Linked DNA regions of Mus musculus: regions 1, 3, 4, 5, 6 and 7 are each reported to be linked to region 2. Evidence: microRNA targets listed by miRTarBase, many of them from high-throughput screens and not tested one by one. Region 2 holds a microRNA gene; each other region holds the end of a gene's coding sequence. Distances are between the middles of the regions.
What was found. Region 2 holds the annotated microRNA mmu-miR-298-5p (GGCAGAGGAGGGCUGUUCUUCCC, at 1,144-1,166, shown strand). A microRNA usually pairs through its seed, bases 2 to 8, with sites in the 3' UTR of a target mRNA and lowers its output. Matches are read on the target gene's strand: a 7mer-m8 pairs with bases 2 to 8, a 7mer-A1 pairs with bases 2 to 7 and ends in A, and an 8mer does both.

Region 1: miRTarBase lists Ttc19 as a target of mmu-miR-298-5p. Seed matches in the 3' UTR shown: 7mer-m8 at 757-763 and 7mer-m8 at 221-227.
Region 3: the mRNA of Cdnf is a reported target of mmu-miR-298-5p. Seed matches in the 3' UTR shown: 7mer-m8 at 698-704.
Region 4: miRTarBase lists Nploc4 as a target of mmu-miR-298-5p. Seed matches in the 3' UTR shown: 7mer-m8 at 267-273, 7mer-m8 at 869-875 and 7mer-m8 at 2,887-2,893.
Region 5: the mRNA of Galnt13 is a reported target of mmu-miR-298-5p. Seed matches in the 3' UTR shown: 7mer-m8 at 345-351.
Region 6: miRTarBase lists Prr23a3 as a target of mmu-miR-298-5p. Seed matches in the 3' UTR shown: 7mer-m8 at 1,936-1,942.
Region 7: the mRNA of Ptk6 is a reported target of mmu-miR-298-5p. Seed matches in the 3' UTR shown: 7mer-m8 at 476-482.

Annotation. Positions count from the first base shown.
Region 1 is chr11:62,313,512-62,316,593 of GRCm38, reverse strand. It overlaps Ttc19 (tetratricopeptide repeat domain 19), which reads right to left. Exons shown (of 10, transcript NM_028360.2): 10 at 170-2,584. The coding sequence ends at 2,451. It overlaps Ncor1 (nuclear receptor co-repressor 1), which reads left to right. Exons shown (of 45, transcript NM_001252313.1): 45 at 1-168. Among named protein-coding and RNA genes, the nearest start is that of Ttc19, 34 kb to the right of the region's middle.
Region 2 is chr2:174,265,637-174,268,718 of GRCm38, reverse strand. It overlaps Mir298 (microRNA 298), which reads left to right and starts at 1,134; the gene lies at 1,134-1,215. It overlaps Mir296 (microRNA 296), which reads left to right and starts at 1,594; the gene lies at 1,594-1,672.
Region 3 is chr2:3,523,441-3,526,522 of GRCm38, reverse strand. It overlaps Cdnf (cerebral dopamine neurotrophic factor), which reads right to left. Exons shown (of 4, transcript NM_177647.4): 4 at 147-2,712. The coding sequence ends at 2,534. Among named protein-coding and RNA genes, the nearest start is that of Cdnf, 12 kb to the right of the region's middle.
Region 4 is chr11:120,379,644-120,382,725 of GRCm38, reverse strand. Nploc4 (NPL4 homolog, ubiquitin recognition factor) reads left to right here. Exons shown (of 17, transcript NM_001195023.1): 17 at 100-2,928. The coding sequence ends at 257. Among named protein-coding and RNA genes, the nearest start is that of Faap100, 2.4 kb to the right of the region's middle.
Region 5 is chr2:55,112,734-55,115,815 of GRCm38, reverse strand. Galnt13 (polypeptide N-acetylgalactosaminyltransferase 13) reads right to left here. Exons shown (of 13, transcript NM_173030.2): 13 at 1-2,995. The coding sequence ends at 2,855. Among named protein-coding and RNA genes, the nearest start is that of Kcnj3, 320 kb to the left of the region's middle.
Region 6 is chr9:98,865,193-98,868,274 of GRCm38, reverse strand. Prr23a3 (proline rich 23A, member 3) reads right to left here. Exons shown (of 1, transcript NM_028033.1): 1 at 1,695-3,082. The coding sequence ends at 2,516. Among named protein-coding and RNA genes, the nearest start is that of Prr23a3, 2.0 kb to the right of the region's middle.
Region 7 is chr2:181,192,886-181,195,967 of GRCm38, reverse strand. Ptk6 (PTK6 protein tyrosine kinase 6) reads left to right here. Exons shown (of 8, transcript NM_009184.2): 8 at 12-844. The coding sequence ends at 199. Among named protein-coding and RNA genes, the nearest start is that of Ppdpf, 7.2 kb to the right of the region's middle.

The DNA.
Region 1 (3,082 bases), not on the chromosome of region 2:
AGGGAGAGGGAGGGCTTCAGGAGGTCTGAGTCTCTAGAACCACTGCCCAAGCACCTCTTAGCATCTATCTACACCACAGGTTTCTGATCACTTTTTTATAGATGAAGGTGCAGGCTAGGCATTTGTCCATATAACTCAGCAAGTAAGAAAGACAGACATTTGAGATCTTAAACTTTAGCTATGCATCATAGCACACACCTTTAATCCCAGCACTCAGGAGGCAGAGGCAGGCGGATCACTAAGAGTACAAGGCTAGTCTGGATTACAAGATGAGTTCTGGACCAGCCAGAACAGGATTCTTATCACTTGTAAAGTCATTACCTTTACAATAGTCACAAACATAATGAAGACTAAGTGTTCTGATTAGATTTACTGCTGAAAGTGTCCCCCTGCCAAGTTATAGTCACATAAGTCTAGATCTTATTAGTAAGTCACTTTGTCAACTAGCCCAAAAAATGATGATGATGATGATTGGCCCTGTCTTACTGTGTCAGTCAATCGAGCTTGGTCACCTACTCTTGTAGCTCCTCCTGCAGACTGCTTGTGCTATCTGTGTTCACGACAACACAACATGAAGTCCAGAATCGTTTCTTACTTCAGAACAGAACAGAACCCCACAGTTTACCTAGAGAGGTGGAGGCCGGCTTACCGACGCGGGCAGCAGCAAGTACTGAGTCTGCGACCTCAGCTGCAAATCAAGGCGGGCCAGCACTATATCTGTAACACATGCACATGCAACTAAATCAAGGTCTTCCAGCAGAGGTAATATTCTGACAATTTTCCAGTCTACTTAGTGAGAAATTTTATACTACACTTTAAATTTTCATATGCTGTGATTGTCTTACAAACACTTAAGCCCTGAAAACCCTAGTAACATGGTCTAGTTTAAAACTTTAATATGAAATTAAATGTAAATTGTTTAAAGTTGTAATCAGTAAAAGGAGATGAGTCCCTTTGTCTCACTGCCTTTTTTATAATAGTGCAAACGAATGCTGCTGGGAACATACACAGACTGTGTCCCCAGCCACAGGACATGAGGTCAGTCACCATGGAACATTAAAAAGCCTAACAGCTAACTTGGGTAACTCTGGAATTGTGAAAAAGTAAAAAACATTTTCAAAGCAAAGGTAACTGAACTCTTACCTGGTTATTCATGGTTAGCGGGAAGATCACATGTGGTTAGGAAGTGAATGGTAAATGAACTCAAACAGAATGTGGGGCTCTCCCCACACAACACAGACTCTGCGGTAGCTCTTAGCTCTGAGGACTTGGACCTTAGTATGTCTGTCTAGTAACTTGGCCATTATTTTTCTATGATTCCAAGATTATTAGAATCCATACAATTGCGTAGTCTCTAGTTTATTATAGAGATTCTCCCAGAACAAACACATGAACCAAAGTCCACTGGCAATCGTACTCACACCGCCTACCTCTACCACCAGGGTTCCTTCGTGGCACCCAGAAAAATGTGTTTTCTCTTAGGCAAAAAGCCATTTGCCAGACTGCAAAGGTAAAAGCATCCATCCATGCATCATATATTTATATACTCTGAGGCAGTGATAAAGTCATCAGACAAACAATCTAATTGGTTTCAGACTTCAGAGATTGCAAAATAAAAAAGTAGAGCTAACTAGGATCCAGATCAGAGGCTGCACATTACCCTGAGCACATGGGTGCTGTAAGCATAACTTTACTCCACTCTGTGCCTGTGGTTATAAAGGAAGCCCTGTGTTCAGACAGTGCTGATGAGGGCTTCATTCCTTCTGCCACCATCATTTTTAGTAGTTATATACATACAAACAGATATACAGTCCAAATGTCTCACTTCCACTTTAGTAGTAAGTGCTGCCAATGATGGCCAACTAGAATTATCATTCCCCTTCATAGTCATTAAATCTCATAATGCATCAATAAAATAGTGTGTAAGAGAGCTAACTAAAATCCTCCTGTGTCATGATACAAGTAACTTGTTTGCCAGAAATGGATACAGAAAAGTAAGCATGAATCAAAATCTTATGGAAGGTATAATGACCATATGGTGAGGAACTTGGCCAACTGTAGTCTGTAAATTTCTCAGATGAGCATGGACTGTACCTTATATACAGTCAGTACAGGGTAAAAGCTGTTTCACCTTTAAAAACAAAAGTAGGGCCAGGCACTTTCGAAGCCGAGGGAGGAGTAGTACTCCAAGTTGGAGGCCAACTTCAAGCATATAGTGATTTCCAGGCCAGCCTACCCATAGAGATACCCATCTCAAAGTAAAATAAATTTAGAAACAAAAGTGGCAGTGTATGCAACTTGTCCTTCTCCGAAGCCGAGTTGACGAACGTTGAATTTCAACAATGATTTACACACTGATTGAGGTCCAGACAACGAAGGAACAGTTACTCCTTTGGGATATCAGAGGTTACCCTCTCTACAACAAAATGAACTTCTATAGCTTAACAAAATTAAGTCAAACGTCTACTTTTTCTTGACAGTTCAGCCAATTCTTCCCTGATGTGCTGAACAGAAACCTCATCTCTTTTCAGCTCTGCTCGCTTCAGCGCTTCCTGGTAGATCTCCTTTGCTTGTGTGTATCGCTCTAAAATAACCCAAAGAGAGGGGAGAAGAAAATATGTGTTTTCACCAGGAACCACTAGTGAGGACACTGTATGATGTGCTGGATGCTTCAAAAATGGCATCTAGTGCTGTCTGGTATCCTGCATACATGACAGCTGGGTAAGAGAAGCTGAGCTTACAGTAAGTAGGTGTCAGCTTTAAAAGTACTTAGTGCTGTGGGATTACAGTGGTGTTCCATGCAACAGAGATCTATGATCCCAGGTTTATGGAAACTTTAGAAGCCCTGAGTATTTTGGAATAGCAGGAAACTTGATGCTTTATCATACTGTGGCTTCAGAACACTGAGGAATTATACCTGTTAAAACACTTCAGCATCTGTAAAACACTACAGAGACAAGGACCTATCACTGCAAAGTGTTCTCTGCCGTCATATGGTCATACAGAAATATGACAGTTTAGTGAATTAAGCAAAATAGTACTTTAACACACATGCATTTTTTAACCCTTATTTAGCCAGCCT
Region 2 (3,082 bases):
ATGGTTGGGATCAAGGGTGGGTGGGTGTCCATCAGATGTGTCTTTCTGTGATGGGCCTCACTGTTCTTCTGTTTGCTTCTGCCTCCCACTGTTGCTCTACTGCACCCGTGGGAGCATGATGGCTCTGCTCCGTCTCTCTTCTCTGCTCAACCAAAGAGTTTCAGAAAAGAGAAAGGAAGCCTTTTCTGAAGTCTCTAGACTTGATTTCTTGTCCTCAGTGCTTGCCCTGGCTGAGGGCCCCGTACAAGTGAACTCTGGGAAGATGATTTGTCTAGGGTCATGGACAAAGGCCTTAGAAGATGACTTCCAAGCCTATTTCGTTAACGACCTGCATTCATTAGAAAAGGACCTGTGTTTTCAAAAACATGGCTCTTGTGTCTCACATGGTCAGACAGTAGCCAAAAGATTGCCCATAAATATGTCTTCTGATGGCTGTTTGGCTACTAGGACAGAACCATTAAGTTGAAGAGCTTAAAACTATGACCTTAGCGGCTGTGTGTCTGTTTTGTTTATGTCTTAACATTCCCTACCCCATCTCTCTGTTCTAAGCACCTCTGAGCTCTCAGCACAGTCCTGCCTTTGAAGCCTTGTGTGATGGGGAGCCTCAAGGATTGGAGCCTGCACTTCTTCAGCTGCTTCTGCTGTGAGCACAACATTCAGTCCTGAGGAAAAGGTTTGCTAAGTAGGAGAACTTGGGGGTTCTTCCTCCTCAGGTATGGATTGATTTTTCACCTCACAGAGACCCAGTCAGCACCCATGGGGTGGGGCATTTGAGTTGGGAGGTGGGTCTTGCTGGAGCAGAGGCCCAGCAAGGTGGATCCTTCTTGGAGCGTGGGAATCTACAGGGCTGCTTAGAAATGGTTTGATTGGTTCATAATGGCACCTTGATAGAACAAGAGGGTTTACTGTACAGGATACTTGCCACACCATGGCCCTCTTTGTGCTACTACATGCAAGTGAGTGAGTCCATTGGATGGAGTGGTCATAGACAGATCTGGCCATGAGATGAGTGTCTCTGGACCCCCACTAACTAGCTCCTGCCCAATTGACTGCTTCCTGAGCACCACAGCTATTTGAGGTAGGCTGGGACGTTCCTGCCGTGCTTGAAAGAGACACCAAGAGGCATAAGAGGCCCAGGCCTTTGGCAGAGGAGGGCTGTTCTTCCCTTGAGTTTTATGACTGGGAGGAACTAGCCTTCTCTCAGCTTAGGAGTGGGCCAACAGCTTCCTTCCGATCTCCAGGAGAATGTTGCTGGTTGACACACGGAACTCATCCTCTAAGTTCCCCCACCCATCAAGGTAGCTGGTGGAGTCAGAGATAGATGTTTCTAAAAGCCATGGAGAACTTTGAGGTCTTGTCATAATGCCCTGAGCCTACTACTAAGACTGCCACCTTCCCATTGTCGATGCAGTGGCTTCTGAGCGCACGTAGCTGGGAAGCGGGTGAGCGGGCCAAGATCCAGGTTAGTGGGCATTCGAGACTACAGAAAGAGACCCTCCTAGGGTCTTGGGGTTGGGGAGACAGAGGCAGGGCCCCTAAGAGGGGATCTCCATCTGTGTGCACACAGAACAGCCTATGTGGAAGGTGACAAGAGGGCCTTTCTGGAGGGCCCCCCCTCAATCCTGTTGTGCTCGCTTCAGAGGGTTGGGTGGAGGCTCTCCTGAAGGTGTCCGCAGAGCGTCGCATGGTAAGTAGTCCCTTGGGGCTCTAGAGAATGCTTGCTGTCTTTGGCTTGATCCCAGTGGCAGCCTCTGCTAGACTAGTCCTGCCCCCCAGTTAGTGCTCATGGGGTACCAGAGACCTGACCCCACCCTGTCTGCTCTAGGCTAATAGTGCCCTGCTTCCCTGGGCTTGTACCACCTTGTGTAGTATCTCCCTACTCTTCTGTATCCTTGGCTGGGAAACTTGCTTCCTAGCACCAGACCTTCCTTGATGTGGTTGTTTGCTTTCCTTTCACTTATCTTTTCTTTCCTACAGGAGTGGGATGGACATCAGTCAGATCCACACCGGTCTTCATGGCAGCCCCCCTTTTTTATTTATTTATTTATTTATTTTTGAGACAAGATCTCACTGAATTATCCATACTGGCCTTAAAACTTGGAATCCTTATGCCTTAGACTCCAGCATTTCTGGCATAAACTGCTGTGTCCAGTCTAGAAGGCATTTTGGTGAACCACCCCTGTAAGACTGAGCTGGGGGGGGAGGGTGTCAGGCACCCAGTTTTGAGTTACTCACACCCAGCCTCTCCCAAGTGTGACACAGTATCTGCCTAATAAATTCACGAAGAAAGATTGTTTGGTGTTGTTCTCATCTGTGCTCTGCGCTCTACCCAGCTCTGCCTGGTGTGCCCATCACTCATCCCACTTCACCAGCTTGCTTCTAGCACACACCTGGCTTGATCTTGCTTCTTAGTGTCTCTTCCCATTAATTAGATTTAACTCAACTGCAAGAGGGCTGGAGCACCTTTCATTTAGAGTACAGTAAACTCTGAATAGAGGGAGGGCGGGAGGGAGGGAGGGAGGGATGGGGGGTAGGAGGGGGAACAGATGAGTGTGTGGATAGATGCGCGGGTAGGTGGGTGGATGGATGGATAGAGAGACATTGAAGAAGATTCAAACCAATAGTGCAGGTTAAGCACTAAACAGGGAGTGAAGGCTGTGAAGCCCAAATGGGAGGCTGTGTATCAGCCGTCTCGTGAGCAGAAGCTAGAGTAAAACCCTCAGATATGAATTCTATAAACTTCAGTTCTCTTCCTTTGGGAAGCCCCAACAAGCTACTCACTCACCAGCCATAGGCCGCTGTCCTCAGGCCTGCTGTTTCTGCTTTTCCAACACTCCTCTGCACTGAGCCTCCTTCTTAGTGTTACCTGCCACTCATCTTCCCACCCTCTTCCTTGTCTGTAGCCATTGTCTTGACAAAGAGGTAAGACTCTCCTGGCTGTGTTACTAGTGGGAGAGAATGGTTGGCATCAAGAACTGCAAAAATCACCACATGTGTCAGGAGAGACTCTGGGAGAAAACATAATTGGATAAGGGGCAGCTGCTCTCTGAGCAAGGATCCCCTGGGGTCCTTAGCTCTAGTC
Region 3 (3,082 bases), 170 Mb from region 2:
TATTAGTATTTTTAGTTTCATTTTGCGTTTGCGCAACCTCCATATCTCCTTGGGAACCACTACTTCTCTAACAAACTCACGTTTACCCCAATTGCTTAGCTGAAAATGCATTCCCTTGCACCATTTAAAAATAAACCTTATTCTGTCAATGTATATTTATTATCTGAATTTAAGTTATTCTCTACTCTACAAAAAAGATGGCTATGAGTACATTTGATTATTTAAAAGAACAGTTGCTTTTAATCAATTAATTTTGGGTAATTTTCAAATAGCTCCTACAACTTTTTATGAAATAGAATTGATGTACAATAGAATACCCACATCTTAATTGTACCTCTATATCAATATGATGATCATATCTCTCACCTCCTGCCTTGATAAAGTACAGTCCCATCACCCCAGAAACTTTAAAGAGAATGCTTTCTTGAGTAGCCACACCCTGACCTATTTCCCAAAGGCAACCATTTAACCATGTGCTTCTTATTGATCTATGGACAGAGAATGGAGCTGAAACATTGCCTGCTTCTTAAGACTGATAGGCTAGCATTAGAAACCACAAGCGCCCCTGCTGCCTGCACGTGGGGAGCATGCTTTCATCCTGCCTGACACGGGGCAGTGAAGAAGACTCTGAGCTTGGGTCACGTGGCAATTCAAGGTGGTTACAAGCCGGGCGTGGTGGCGCACGCCTTTAATCCCAGCAGAGGCAGGCGGATTTCTGAGTTTGAGGCCAGCCTGGTCTACAGAGTGAGTTCCAGGACAGCCAGAACTATACAGAGAAATCCTGCTTCAAGAAAACAAAAAAACAAAAAAACAAAAAACAAAAAACAACAACAAAAAAAGGTAGTTATAAATAGGCCAAGCACAGACTTTTTATGGATTGCTGATTTGTATTCTTCCGATCAGTTTTCTTTATATGAGAAACGGAAACTTCCATTCGTGCTGTGCAATGCTTAATCGCCATTGTTAACTTGGTGGAATTTAGAATTGCCTAGGTGACACATACCTCTGGGCACGAGTGGGAGGGCGTTGCTAGAGAGAGTTTAACTGTGGAAGGAAGACCCCATCCTGAATGTGAGCAGTGGCATTCCCGTGCTGGGGTCAGACTGACAGCTAGCAGAGCATCTACTTCCATCTCTGCTTCTAGGACATGGATGAGTTTGACCAATGGCCTCACACTCCTGCTGCCGTGATGAACTGTAATCTCAAACCATGAACTAAATTAACTCCTTTCTCGATTGTTTTTTTAGGTATTTTGTCTCAAGAGCCTATAAAGTAATGAATGCTTCCCTCCTTGCTGTGCAAAAGAGAGAAAATATTTAGAGTGAATGAAGTTTTTTAAAAAATCTATTTTTAAAAAGCAAAATGAAACAAGAACCTTCTGAACTATGTTAGGTGGTTATTGAGATTGAAGTCGCACATTAGATAAGCTATAGTTTCTGTTATGCACTCTTTTTAAAAACCTTGACCAAAGAGATGCCTCTTGTCTCTTTCCTTCCTTAAAATGTATTATCCCATCATATCCATAGCACACTTGAGTCAGTAGTGATAAACTACATTGTCCTTCTGCTGTGCCTTGGATCTGAACTGTCCTCCTCCAGCTCAGTTTTTTGTTTGGTTTGGGTTGTTTGGTTGTTTGGTTGGTTCATTGGTTGGATTTTATTTTAGTGTTTGTCTGTTTGTTTGTTTGTTTGTTTGTTTTTCAAAACAGTGTTTCTCTGTGTGACCCTGGCTGTCCTAGACTCACTTTGTAGACCAGGCTGGCCTCAGACTCACAGAGATCTGCCTCCAGACAGAGTGCTGGCATTAAAGGCATTCACCACCACACCTGGCATCGGTTTGATTTGAAGGTTTGTTCCCTAGCTAGTGGTAATTTGGGGAAACTGTGAGGTGGGTGTCTGACTGACAGAAGTGGATGAATAGGGCTATCCCTTTGAAGGTTACAGCCTTATCATTATTTGGACATCACTTTCTGCCTCTCTATAATCACAACAGCCTCTATGACAAGCTCTTGTCGCCCTGCTCTGAGCTGTGCTGCCCTTAGCTACCCTGCTGTGATGGACCAAATCCCTGAGCCCAAGTGACTCTTCCCTCCCCACACTTGTTTCAGTTACCTGGCAACAGCAAGGTAGCCCAGCCCACTATAAAGGGGGCTGCTTGGCCCTTCCTCTCTCTCTTTAAGCCCTCACCTTTCTTACTCTCATCTCTAGCCCTCTTTCTCTCACTCCCTTCCCCCTCTCTCCATGTGGCCATGGCCAGCCTCTCTCAATAAGCATTATTGTCATAGCAATGCAAAGGCAACCACTGCATCCTCCAAGAAGGATGAGAAAAGCACCTTGAGGTCTCTGTGCTCTGCAATTTTAGCGACCATGAGGAAGCACGGGTTGATCATATGCCTAAACAACACAACTCCACAATACAACAGCAAAACTGACGGCCAACTGGGCAGTCCCTGGTTAGCCCTAACCAGCACACTCTCATCTTAGACAGTCATTTTCTTCTAACTGCAGTCCATGCTTCCTGACAGCCGACGGGGTCAGAGCTCCGTTTGGGGGTATATCTCTACATATTTGGGGGCCAGCTCTCTAATGAGGTTCACGTAGTCACTTTTCTCCGCACATGCCCTGCACTCTTCCCCCCATCTCTGAAGGATCTGCTTTAGCTCTGCCACTCTCATCTTCCACAGGTCCACCGACGCCAAGTCCAGCTTCTTCCCTAAATGCCAAAAAAGAACACACAGTTGAATGACAAACCCAAAATCTCATAAAACTCCATTCCCCTTCAGTGTGAGACAACTCCCTTTCCCATGGGGACCAAGACATACCCAATGAGAATGTGATATCACCAGTCAGCCTGCACCCTGGGTTCTCAGTGCTTAAAGGCTACCAACCATAGACCAACAATATTCAGGGATGAAAATGCCAAATCTGTGTTAAGCATAGACAGAGGTTTTTCTTTTTTCTTTATCTTTTTGTCATAAACCACTTAACAACACAGTATAACAACCATTTGCTGGCTGGCAAGATGGCTGGCTCAGTGGGCGAAGGCACTTGCTACCAAGCCCAAGGATTCTTAGTTGAATCTT
Region 4 (3,082 bases), not on the chromosome of region 2:
TTACGCAGTAGGGGCTTTGAGCCACCCTGCCCTGCCATCTGGCTCTAAGGAGATGTCTTTTTCTGTGCAGGCATGACGTGTTCTCACTTTACCCTACAGGCACCGTTGGTGTGCAGCTCCCAGGCCTCCACGAGTTTGGTGCAGTCGGGGGCTCTGCACGCGCTGCTACCTCTGCCATGTGGGCCTGTCAGCACTGCACCTTCATGAACCAACCTGGCACAGGCCACTGCGAGATGTGCAGCCTCCCCCGGACCTAGGGCTCTGGGCCTCTGCTGCATGGGACTGGGCCAGCCCAGCCCTCTGAAGTCTGGAGCGCCACATGTTCCCTATAAGGCCTGAAGCCCACAGCCCTGAAACAGTGGGGCCAGCTGCCCTGGTATTCCAGATACCCTGAAGCGTCTCCGTGCAGATCTTGAAGAGAAAGAACCTCGGCTGCTGTGCTGGGGTTGAACAGAGCCTCCCACCTGGGAAGGCAGAGCAGACCTGCCCAAGAGCTCCCCACACGCCTCACGTGTTGGAGGGACTGAACACGTCCAGCCAATCACCTGAAATTGGGGTGTACAGAGAGGGTGCTGCTGTCACCCAGCTATCTCTCCTTCCTCTATGATCTTTGTTTTCTGCCTTCCCACCTTCTCCCCCAGTGTTCGGATGAATGTTCCTGGCTGTCTCTGTTCCCTTGCTGTGGGGCTGTGTCCCTCCTTTGGGAGCATGTGTGGCTAGGGTGTGGCAGCCTTTGTCTGACATGCAGTATAGTAGGTCCCTGACCTTTACTTGCCTGAAATCAGCAGTTATCAATAATTCCCACCCAGGAAACTTTTATTTATTGTTTTTTAAAGATAAAACTGCACAGATGGGAGTGAGAGATTTACCTCTGCTCCTTCCTCCTTCAGTGCAGCCCCTCTTGGGTGGTTTATTGGGCAGGAGGCCACCATCATTTCTCCTCAGAAGCAAACCTCAGTGCCTGAGACTTTCCTGCCACGCTGCAGACAGTGGCAGTTGGTAGCATGGGTGGTTCATCAGAGCAGTGGTGGCTCTTGCCTGGCAGTCAGCCCCTTCAAGTCTGGACAGCCCTGGAGTTCTGGTCCCCTCTCCTAGCACTGTACCTTTACCCAGCGAGTCCCCACACTGTGGTCTTCTTGCACAGTGTGTGGCAGTTGAGAAAGCCTAGAAAAGGTGCCCATTTGACCACTGTGAGGCAAATAGAAACAGTCCCTAAGGGTCCTATGTGGCTGTGTTGTGACAGCCCTTACCCAGGTAAGAGATGGATGTCGTGATGCCTCGTTGCCTTAATGAGAGCTGAGTCAGCTGTCCTTCACCCTGGGAAAGTCCATGCCAGCTGTGGACTGCTGGGAGCCATGTTTGTCACCTTAGTAGAATGCACCAATGTTCCCTTCTGCATCTCTGGCCCTGTGGACAGAACACTTATTGCTAGGTTATCTATCGTGTGGCAGGGCTGGCCAGCACCGTTGGGTCTCACCTGGCATGAGATCTGAAGCTAAAGCCCTGGGACTGTGGAGCCATTGGGCTTGGTTTGGTATTGACAGGGTCATCCTGAGGGGTTAGCAGTGGTAGAGAGCAAGGCAAGTGATCTCTCCAGCTACCTGCCAGCAGTAGAGAGAGAGAGAGAGAGTGCTGAGGGCTGGTAGTGTCTCTGGCTAGGGCTTCACCTTTCGGTTTTTTGTTTTTTGTTTTTTCTGGTCCCTGAGTCTGGCATTTCTGTCTGTGACTTAGCTATGTTTCTGATGCCAATCACACTAGCACCATTACATGCTGGGCAGGTGCTGGGCAGCACAGACGCTGGAGACCTGTTTGCCACTGCTTGTCCCCCATTCATCTTTGTCTACAAAGTTAATTACGTTCTCATGTTCTGGCATCCACATAATTCTTGTTTTCTCTGACTTATAGCTAAAGAAATTTTTGTGGTTTCTCTGCTTATGGTTTTGAGTTACTCTTTGTTCAGTAATGCACTTTATTTTATTGTCCAAAGAGAGTCAAGCTAAAGCTACCACCTTGGGGTGAGCCCTACAGAAGGTTCAGACCCGGGCAGCTCAGCTACCTCCTTCTACATGGAGGTGGCCCTGGTCCCACCTCTAATCCCTACTGTCATCAGGCACTACAGCCCAAAAAGAGGTGCTTGTGAGCACACCCACCCAAGTGAACCCAGTGGCTGCCATGGTCCTCTTCAGGCTCAGAGATGGGTCTAGCCCTGGCCTTGCTCTGATCAGCCTGCTCCTGGGGCATGGGTGCTCCCGCTTCTGCTCTGCTTGGGCTCACAGGTATGCACTGGCTGGGTGTGGATGAGTATTTTTCTGACCCCAGCCCTGCAGTGGAACCTAATAAAAGCACCTGAAGCGATTGTCCTGCTCCCAGTGCATTGTTCCTGTGCCCAGAACCACAGTCCACCGGTGTGGCATGGATGTGTTGCCTTGTAAGGACAGTCCTGAGTGTTAGAACCTGGTGTGCAGAAGATAAACTGACGATGCTTCCAACCCTGGAGGTGACTCCGATGCTGCAAAGAATTCATCTCCCACTTGTTTCCACTCAAGGTGTCTTCAGAGCAGCCTGGGGCTTGGGCTCAGATCTGTTTCAGAGACCACTCAGAAATGATAAAATAGGTCCAGGCTTCACCCTTGGGTTAAAGTTGGTTTTTGTTTTTTTGTTTTCACTTAATTTACAGCTGGGCATAGTGGTCTGTGCCTTTATTCCCAGTACTCTGGAAGCACAGACAGGCTACAACTATAAAGCCTAAGAAATAAATATTTGGGGCTGGGGGGTGTCCAGTTCCAGACAGAGCTTTTTGTTTTTTGTTTTGTTTTGTTTTCATAAGCGTTGCTGTTGTAGAACTAGCTTTGTAGACCAGCCTGGCCTTGAACTCAGATCCACCTGCCTCTGCCTCCTGAGTGCTGGGATTAAAGGTGTATACCACCACACAGCTTTTATTTATTTAATCGTATGCTTTTGTACACATAAATACCTTAGTAAAAGATGTAGGAGCCCCTGGAGCTGTTGGGGGTTGTGAGCTTCCCTATGTGGATGCTGGGAATCAAACTTGGGTCTTCTGCAAGTACAGCGTGTGCTCTTA
Region 5 (3,082 bases), 120 Mb from region 2:
TGGCCGTGTGCTTACTTAACAAAGATGTGGCCCTGGCTCTGAAACAGAAAAAAAAAAAAAAAAAACATAAATAAATGTGATTATATGGCCAAGTGTGTGTTGGTGTATGAGACTGGAAGAAATTGAAATAAGCAAAAGAATAATCTTAGATTTGCTCAGAGAGATAGGAATGAGAGACTACAGGCAGGACAAGCATTTGTTGTACTGAAGAGGTCATGTTTGTATAGAGACCTAAAGAAATAAGTGAATGATATCTTGGGACTGATAGAACCAACAGTAAAACAGACTTGTTTGGCAGCCAGAACAATGTAATGAAATGCAAGACAGTAAGAGATAAAAAAAAGGCAGAGGTCTCTCTCTCTCTCTCTCTCTCTCTCTCTCTCTCTCTCTCTCTCTCTTTCTCTCTCTCTCTCTCTCTCTCCCTCTCCATCTGTCCAAGGTATGTGTATATGTTTGTTGAGTGTTTTGTTCTGGGTATAGAGACACAATGGCTATGAAATGATTTGAGGATTAATGGGAAGATTATGTTCAGGAAAATACACAAATTCATACATAATAGTATCTATGTGACTCTTGTATTAAGTAAACAAGTGTAGCATTGGGTAAGACTTGGCATGAATAGAGAATTATAATATATGCATATTTCTTATGATTTAGTCAGAAGGAGCAACCCACAATGGTTGTGGCCCCAAATTGTTGGTTTGCTGTTATATGTCAAAGATAGCATCAAGTTACTTTTAAGATGGTTAGACTCAATTTGTCCAAAGTTTTACATTGCAATAATGTTGTTATCTACAAAAATAAACACTTGGTATCAAAACAGTGTGAATATCCAAAATGAAAATTTAAAACAAGTTTAAATTTTGTGTTGGACCAAGATCCTAGTTAACTTTGACATCAGGCAGTTTCATGAAGTCTGTAAGCTACAGTTAGAACAGGCTTGAAAAGTTTGAAAGACATTATCACTTGATTTTGGGGACAAAGTCTCTCATTTGATTGGGAGCTTGTCCATGAGGACAACCTGGCTGGTGAGGAAATTCAAGAAATTCTCTTTTTTTTTACCTCCCCAGTATTAGAGTTACAAGTACATCCTCCCACATCTAGTGGTTATTTAGCTTGGAATCAGCATCAGTTCCTCTTGGTTGAGGGGCAAACACCTACTGAGTGAGCAAGCCCTTATCCCAGTTTCATAGTTTTGACTTGAGCGTCCAGAAGGTGAAACATGCATTTGTTCTGATGAGAAAGACCACTGAAATGGGTAGACTTGTGCAGTATGAAAAATATAATAGCCCAACTCAGGTGTGTGTGTGTGTGTTTGTGTGTGTGTGTGTGTGAGTATATGTGTATGTGTGTACACATATGCATGTGTGTGTTTGTGTTTGTGTAAAAGAGAGACAGTAATAGAAACAGAGAAAGACAGTGACAATAGACAGAGGAGAGAATCAGTGAAAAATGGAGAGAGAGGAGAGAGAAAGAAAGCAAGTGTAGCAAGCTCATTAACTCTTTTTATAGAAGATCCTTTAAAATAAAAGGTCAAAAGTATGGACTTTCTGTTCCTGAAGAATCTTCTAGCTTCACCCCCATAGAGTTCCTCCAGCTGCTAGATATACAACCAAAACATACATGTACAACAACTATGTGGCCACCTAAAATGGTAGCAAACATATAACAATTATTACTGTCCCATGAATTGGTAGGTTTTCCTTTTTCATATAATTAGTCCATGCACTGTGAACAAAGGGGTTTTATGTGGAAATGACACACGAAATTGTCCTAATTATGACAGCCATAGTTTATGCAAAATCATGTCTAGTAGTTTAATTAATATAATTTTTAATAACTCCAATTTTTCCAGTGACCAATGTTGGATTTTATAGCATAGCAATAGATTTTGAGTGCCATTCTTTTTATAGAATGCAAAGTGCCAATGACCGCACTGACTGAACTAAAAGGGATAGTACTTTAGAAATTAAATCTAAAAGGTCACTCTTCACCTACAGTTCTGTAGGCTGTGACAAATCTCACCCTCTGGAGTGAAGGGCAAAGATACAGCTGATGGACAAAAACTCTCTGTATGGAGACAGGGAGAAACTGGGGATTCAGGTCCTGATATCACACCTCAGAGCAAGACCGTCTTCAGCTTGTGTTCAGAATGAAGATTCTTTCACAGCAACTCTTGTAGTTTATATAGCTCTTGTTTTCCTCAATACCTCATGTACTCCTTACATCATTTGATTTAAATTTATTATTATAAATAGGTTTTAAAAATTCTTTTCTTTATTTTGTATGATGATTTTTATTTTACAAATTCAATAACTAGCTTAATTATTTTCCTACTACCTTATATTTTGTTTGATGAATTCAATGTTCAGGAATGATTTCATATGGATTCTAATTGTTGGCATAGAAATTCAACCAGGGTCCCATGAAGCTTTTGTAAAAAAGAGTGTTTTATAAAGCTACATTAATATTTTATAATTATGATATTGTATAAGGCTTTACATGATCTCTCTTTTAATTATTATTACAACACAAAATAAACCAATTCCAAATAACCCTGTGACAAGAGGTTATTGAAGACATTTTAAAAGTAAATACAAGGTGTGTTTTTCCCAAACAGTTCAAATGTTTAATAACAGTTTCTTATTATTTATATTTTATGTGCTTCTTTAATCAGATACAAATTTTAGTAGGGAAATAAACATTCCTAAAAATGAATTATAAACAATTGTGTTTTATATTACTAAAAGTATTTTTTAAACTTTTAATTCAGAAAAGTTAATACTTTCACCAAACTAAAATAATGGACAAACAAACATGTAGAGACTTTCACATCTTGGGAAAAAAAATATCTTCATGTCCCCAAGGTCATGTTCCTCAGCAGCCATTGTTGGGATCTGCTGCCACTGCAGTCCTGCATGGTAGGCACCATTTTGTCTTCTTCAGAAGGTTCATCAAGACATTGGTTACTGTTAGCATGTCTCAAAGTGAGTCTCTGTAAAAGATAACCACAATCAGGAACTTACTGATTCATTAGATGAAGGCTGCTCTCTAAAAGTAGTCTATATAATTTTAATGTATA
Region 6 (3,082 bases), not on the chromosome of region 2:
AGATTTTAGGTAAGTGATAATTCTCAACATCCACAGTCAACTACATTCAGCCAAGCCAAATAGAAATAATATCGTCATAGACACATTATAATCAAACTATGTGACACGAAAACCCAACAAATATTTGAAGTAAAATGAAGGCAGATGTGGCTTTTACAGATTTTACACACCTGTAATCCTGGGACTTGGGAGGCTGAAGCAGGAGGGTGGGGACTTCCGGACCAGCCTGGACTACACAGAACTTGTCACAAAACAAAAGCAGGCCACGAATAAAACACTTCAAACCCTTAAAACTAAGATGTACAATACCCCCACATATAAAATAGTGATATTTTGATTGGTTGGTTACACAACCATTTAGATAAAAAGATGGTGAAACACTGGATTAATAAATTTAAAGTAGTCAAATATTATGCTAGAGAAACTACATTTAGGATCAAGGGCTGAGGGGAGAGATGGGGAAGAGACGCCTCACCCTCCACAATGGTGGCTAGAAACCTCAAGTCAGTCCAAGGGACATGCTAACAAGATGGATGAAGTTTCAGACAGAAACAAATGAAAAGGGAGAAGAAAGTGCTAGAAGCTGAAAGGGAAGCCTGCAGGGAAAGGCCCTGGCCACAGGTGGAATTAAGAAGACTGGCATTAAAAACTAGTTTTTATTTATTTATTTTTGGTGTGAATACTGATGACCCTCCATTCAGTCTGCTTTCATTTAAGTTTCTGGATGCCCAGCCAGTATTTTTTTTTTTTTCCAAATTCTTCCACCAGTATCTGGAATGTAGCATTGTGTTGGAGTCCACTGTACATTTAAGAATTATACAGTGGTTTATTGTCTATTTATTTCCACTTGGCCATTCCTATTTCACGTTTAAATAAAATGAGTACGGAATGAAACATTTTCAAGCATAAAATCCTAAGAGTTTTTGGACTATAGAACCAAGGCAGGACAGACATAATGGAGATAATTGTTAAATAAATAAATATACATATACATATACATATATATATATACACACACACACACACACACACACACACACACACACACACACATACATATAACTGTTAAAGCCTATCTCTGGGGCTGGTGGGATGGGATCATCAGGCAGAAGTACTCACTCTACAAGCCTGACAATTGGAAGCCTGATAACTGATCTCCTGAGTCCACGGTAGAGGGAGAGAACTGACTCCCAAGTTGTCCTGTGATTTTTCACAGGTGTGTTGTGGCAGACACTCGATGACACGCATGGTCCTGGGCTCACACACAAATCACACACACTCAGTCAAATACACATCAATGATAAATTAAACAATAAAAAAAAGTTGTATGTAAGAGCTACACTCTGGCCAATAACCTTAGCTTCTAGGGTGGCTCCTGTGGAGGACTTCATTTTCAAGGTGGGTCTGGGCTACAGAATGAGTTTAAAGCTAACCCAAGCAGCTTAGTGAGACCCTGTCTCAAAATAAAGAGTAAGTAAGGAGAGAGCTAGGGATGTACATGTATTTGAGCGCTTGCCCAGTATGTGTGAGATCCTAGGTTAAATCTGTATTAATGCAAAAAGAAATTAAAAGCAGATTAGTAGTAGCAAGATAAAAATTGAGGTTAGCCTGAGAACAAAGAGGGAATTTGGTAAAATAGGTTGACAAAACTGAACAGCTAAAAGCTGAACAGCTATGATTTTTGACTCACCTTTACCAGGGACATTTATTTTATTTTTATAAAACAAGATAAATATGACCATTGCATACAAAACATTACAAATTAGGTTTATAAGAGCAAAAATTGGTTCAGAATTTAAAACAAAACAATAACGTGGAATAATAGTAATGTAAACATTTTCCACCAGTTTAGGTGAAATCTTGAAGCGAATGTACTATAAAAAGAAACCCAAGCCTGGCAGAGTGGCGCAAGACTTCGATCCCAGCACTTGGGAGGCAGAGGCAGGTAGATCTCTGCGAGTTCAAGACCAGCCTCTATTACATAGTTCTAAGAAAGCCACAGATTTCTAATGAGATCCTGACTAATCACAAACTAAACAAAGATTAAAAAACAAAGAAAACAAATGCATATCCCAGCGCATGCTGAAAACAGCCGGCAAACTTCACCATGAATCACACTTACAATGAAGGAACTGAAATGGGAGACTATTCCAAGGAGCTTTGGAGATGGCTTTGAACCCTGTACATGCAAGTGAGGTAACCATTATAGCACATGATGGTGTTGGGTAGTTTTCTAGGAGAGTAGCCCGGAACAACAGAGAGGTAGATAAGTCGTGTCCAAATCCTCAAAAATTCACGGGAAAACACTAAAGGCCACCAAGAACTTAAGACACCTACTAATTTCTTTGTTAGAGAAGAAACAGGTGTTGGGGATTTTACCACTTGAATTTCTAGGAACTTTTAGGGCCTCGGGAAGAGTCCTTTGGGTCAGCAAGGCTTTAATTCTAACATCATGGGGCCTAAGTGCCTTGCAACTAGGGGTAGAGAAGCCCCTCAAAGATTTGTGCAGGGCAGTTCATTCATAGACCAGTCGCTTCCGGGCCCTGCGAGGAGCCCGGGGAGAGCATGGAGGGCATGGCGGAAGCTGCTCTTGGGGATTCCGGGAAGGAGATGGAGGCAGAGGCTGCAGTGGTGAGCCAGGGAAGGGTCCCAGCATGTTGATGTCCAGTTCCCAGATGAACCTAGGAGAATATTGCTCTGCTCCAGTGGAAGGCCCTGGGACTTGGTCCTGAGACAAAGGACTGGGCACCCCTGGGATGGAGGAAAAGTTCCCATTGGCCTGATCATCTGGAGGGCTAGCCCAGTGCTCCAGAAATTCCAAGTCTGCATCCTCATCACAGACATCCTCTTGGTAGAAGTACTCACAGAAAGTTTCCTCCTGGAGACCGACTAGATGATCCTGGGGCCCGTCCTGGGCAGCGGCTCCCTGCGGGCTGATGGCCACGAATCCAGGCTGTCCAAAATGGGTGGAGTCTTGGAGCCCCTCGGGGACCAGGAGGATGGTGTGTCCTTGGAGCGACACTTGCAGTACCGAGGTGGGCTCTGGCTCCAGCAGCAGGTCGACGCCGTCCAGGGGCAACTG
Region 7 (3,082 bases), 6.9 Mb from region 2:
ATGGGCCACAGGCATGTCCAATCATGAAACCTTCCTGAGGGTGGATGCCGGCTACCGCATGCCCTGCCCTCTGGAGTGCCCACCCAACATACACAAGCTGATGCTCAGCTGCTGGAGCAGAGACCCCAAGCAGAGACCTTGCTTCAAAGACCTGTGTGAGAAACTCACAGGTATCACCAGGTATGAGAACCTGGTCTGAGCTCCTTGGACGTGGCCAGGACCCACAGAAGAGGGCCTCGTGATTATCCTGGACTTCTATTGAAGGCATGAACCATCCTTCAGTTTACTGAGATGAAGGGATAGGAAACATACCAAACATACCTCAAATACTGCGTTTTGTCAAGGAAAGAGTAAAGAGGCTCCTTTCCCTTTTTTGGGGGGGGGGGGTTTCGAGACAGGGTTTCTCTGTATAGCCCTGGCTCTCCTGGAACTCACTTTGTAGAGGAGGCTGGCCTCAAACTCAGAAATCTGCCTGCCTCTGCCTCCCAAGTGCTGGGATCAAAGGCGTGCGCAACCCGGCTTCCTTTCCCTCCTCCAGGAGGCAATACACAAAATCCAGAAAGTCACTCTCTGGCTTCTTCCTCCCTTCTCCTGTGAAGACTTCATGTGACAGAGAAGCCAAGAAGAGTCTAGGCAACAGGCCTTGTGGAGTTCTTTTCATACCACTTTTGGAGCTTGACTGTCCACAAACACATACCCTACCCTTTAGCACCTTAATTCTGCAGGATCTTATGCCACATACAACCCAGAACAAGTTTACATGATTTTCTCTTTATAACCTTGGTTTTGTTGGAGGATCCTCACCTAGAAAGTTGAAGACAGAGATAAATGGATATGAAATTTCTGCTTTGTGGTTTCCGGTGCCCAGTGGGGAGTGAGTGCTTGAGATACCCAATCACCTGGGGTCCGCAGAAGCAGAGGGAAGACGATGGAGTCAGTAAGAGCCAGGAGATTTTCTTGTTTGCTTTTTCCAAGACAGGTTTTCTCTATGTAGCTCTGGCTGTCCAGGAAGTCATTCTGTAGACCGGGATGGCATTAAATTCACAGAGATCCACCTGCCTCTGCTTCCCAAGTGCTGGGATTAAAGGCATGTGCTACTGTTGTTGCCTGGCAGAGCCAGGATTCTTAACCATGTGGGCAGAGGCAGCTCTTCTGCATCTCTGCCCGAGGCTCTGCACTTGTTTCTAAAGTCAAACTCGGTCTGAGCTTGTGAGTCTGGTGTTTACTTTCAGAGCTCCGTGTCCTTTCCCTTCAGAGATGCTTTTGCCCTGGGTTCCTGAGGCAGGATACCCTTATATCCTGTGCCATCCTCTGATTCCCATTTGGACCCGAGTTTTCCAAGATGGCTCTGGTCCAAGGCTGCTCTCCCTCATGTGTCTTCAGTGCTTTTGAACCCATACTTGACCCATAAAGGCTAGACAGGCTATCTGTTCTCCATTTCATCTCCTTATGTACTTGGAGATTAGAACCCCAGTTCTGAGGGGGAGTATCCCAAAAGCACGTACCCGAGGCTACCTGACTGGAAGTGGGCATAATTCTCTGATGACATGTCTACAGCCACGTCCAGATTGCCCTCTCACAACAGGTGAAGATGCCGCAACCTTCCTTACAGAAACATCCTCTCTGTATCCTAGAGATGACACTTTCTGTACTGCTTCCTGTAAAGCAGCTCTCTGGGATGTAACGTCGTCACTAGATAGGGAGAGCACAGGAAAATGTTTGGAAACAGGGCAAATGAAAACCTTTGAATAAAGTCTTTTGCATAGACATTCATCAAAAATTTCCCCTCTCTCAGTAACTGAACCTTTCATTTTCACCAAGAACAGAATTTGGACTGGGCTTGGTGGTGCACATCTTTAATCCTAGCACTTGAGAGACAGAGGTAGGCAGATCTCTGTGAGTTCCAGGCCAGCCTGGTCTATGTAGCAAATTTCAGGGCAGCCAGAGCTACACAGGGAGACCCTGTTTCATAAAAACAAAAATAAATAAAAAAGAACAAAATTTGTATAAAAATCCAAGTGGACATAAACTGAATCAGGACTAAACGTTCTAAAATTAAAGCTATAGGGACCGTGTACATTTGGCTGTTTGTAGAGTCCTTCCCCCAGTTATAGAGGGGACAACCCTGGTACACTTCTTTAATCCCAGCACTTGTGAAGCAGATTCAGGTATATCTGTGTGTTTGGGAGCAGCCTGGTCTACAGAGTTCTAACATGCAAAGAGTGACCCTGTCTCAAAAACAAGGAAACAACAAAATAAAAAAAAAAAAACAAAAAAAAAATCTCTTACAGTTCTGTTTGGACTGGTCTAGAGATGAGTGCTCATTAAATATCCCTAAAATCTCTCAGAAATATAGAAACAAAGTCAAATGTTCTTAAAGATCACATGATCTAGAATAATGTAAAATAAAAAACAGGAATGTTTCCAGACCTGTCCAACATGAACACAGTATAGCTAGACCAGTTGTTCTCACCTTCCTAATTCTGCGACCCTTTAATGCAGTTCCTCATATTGTGGTGACATCTAACCATAAAATTACTTTTGTTGCTACTCCGTAACTGTAATTTTGCTACTGTTATGAATTATGAATATTTTTGGAGATAGAATTCCCTTTTGTCAAAGAGGTTACAACCCAAAGGTTGAGAGCTACTGAGATAGACTTTTTTTTTCTTACCAGGGTTTAAACAAGTTTCATTCTACTGAGTATTTAAAATGCTAAAAGGAGAAATGAAACCCAAGGGTAGAATAGAGGAAGGGACGAAGGGGATGGTCTTGCTTTTGTGGTGTTGGTGACATTTGCCTGACTTGTTAACAAGAGCAATTTTAGTGCTGATACCTTGTAACACGCCTGTAACTGTTGAGTGGACAGAAATGTAAGTGGAGTGAAAGCTAAATGAACTCCTCAACAGTAATTTTAATTTATAAAAAGCATCCCACAACCTTAAGTTTGTTCAGGCTTGAGAGATGTAGTTAACAAATCAGCTTTGGGGTCATTCCTAAGGAAACAAGCTTAGGCTGATCTGCTATGGCCTCCTGTTTTTACACAGAATGGAGGTAGTTGTGCTTGGGTCTATAGTATGCA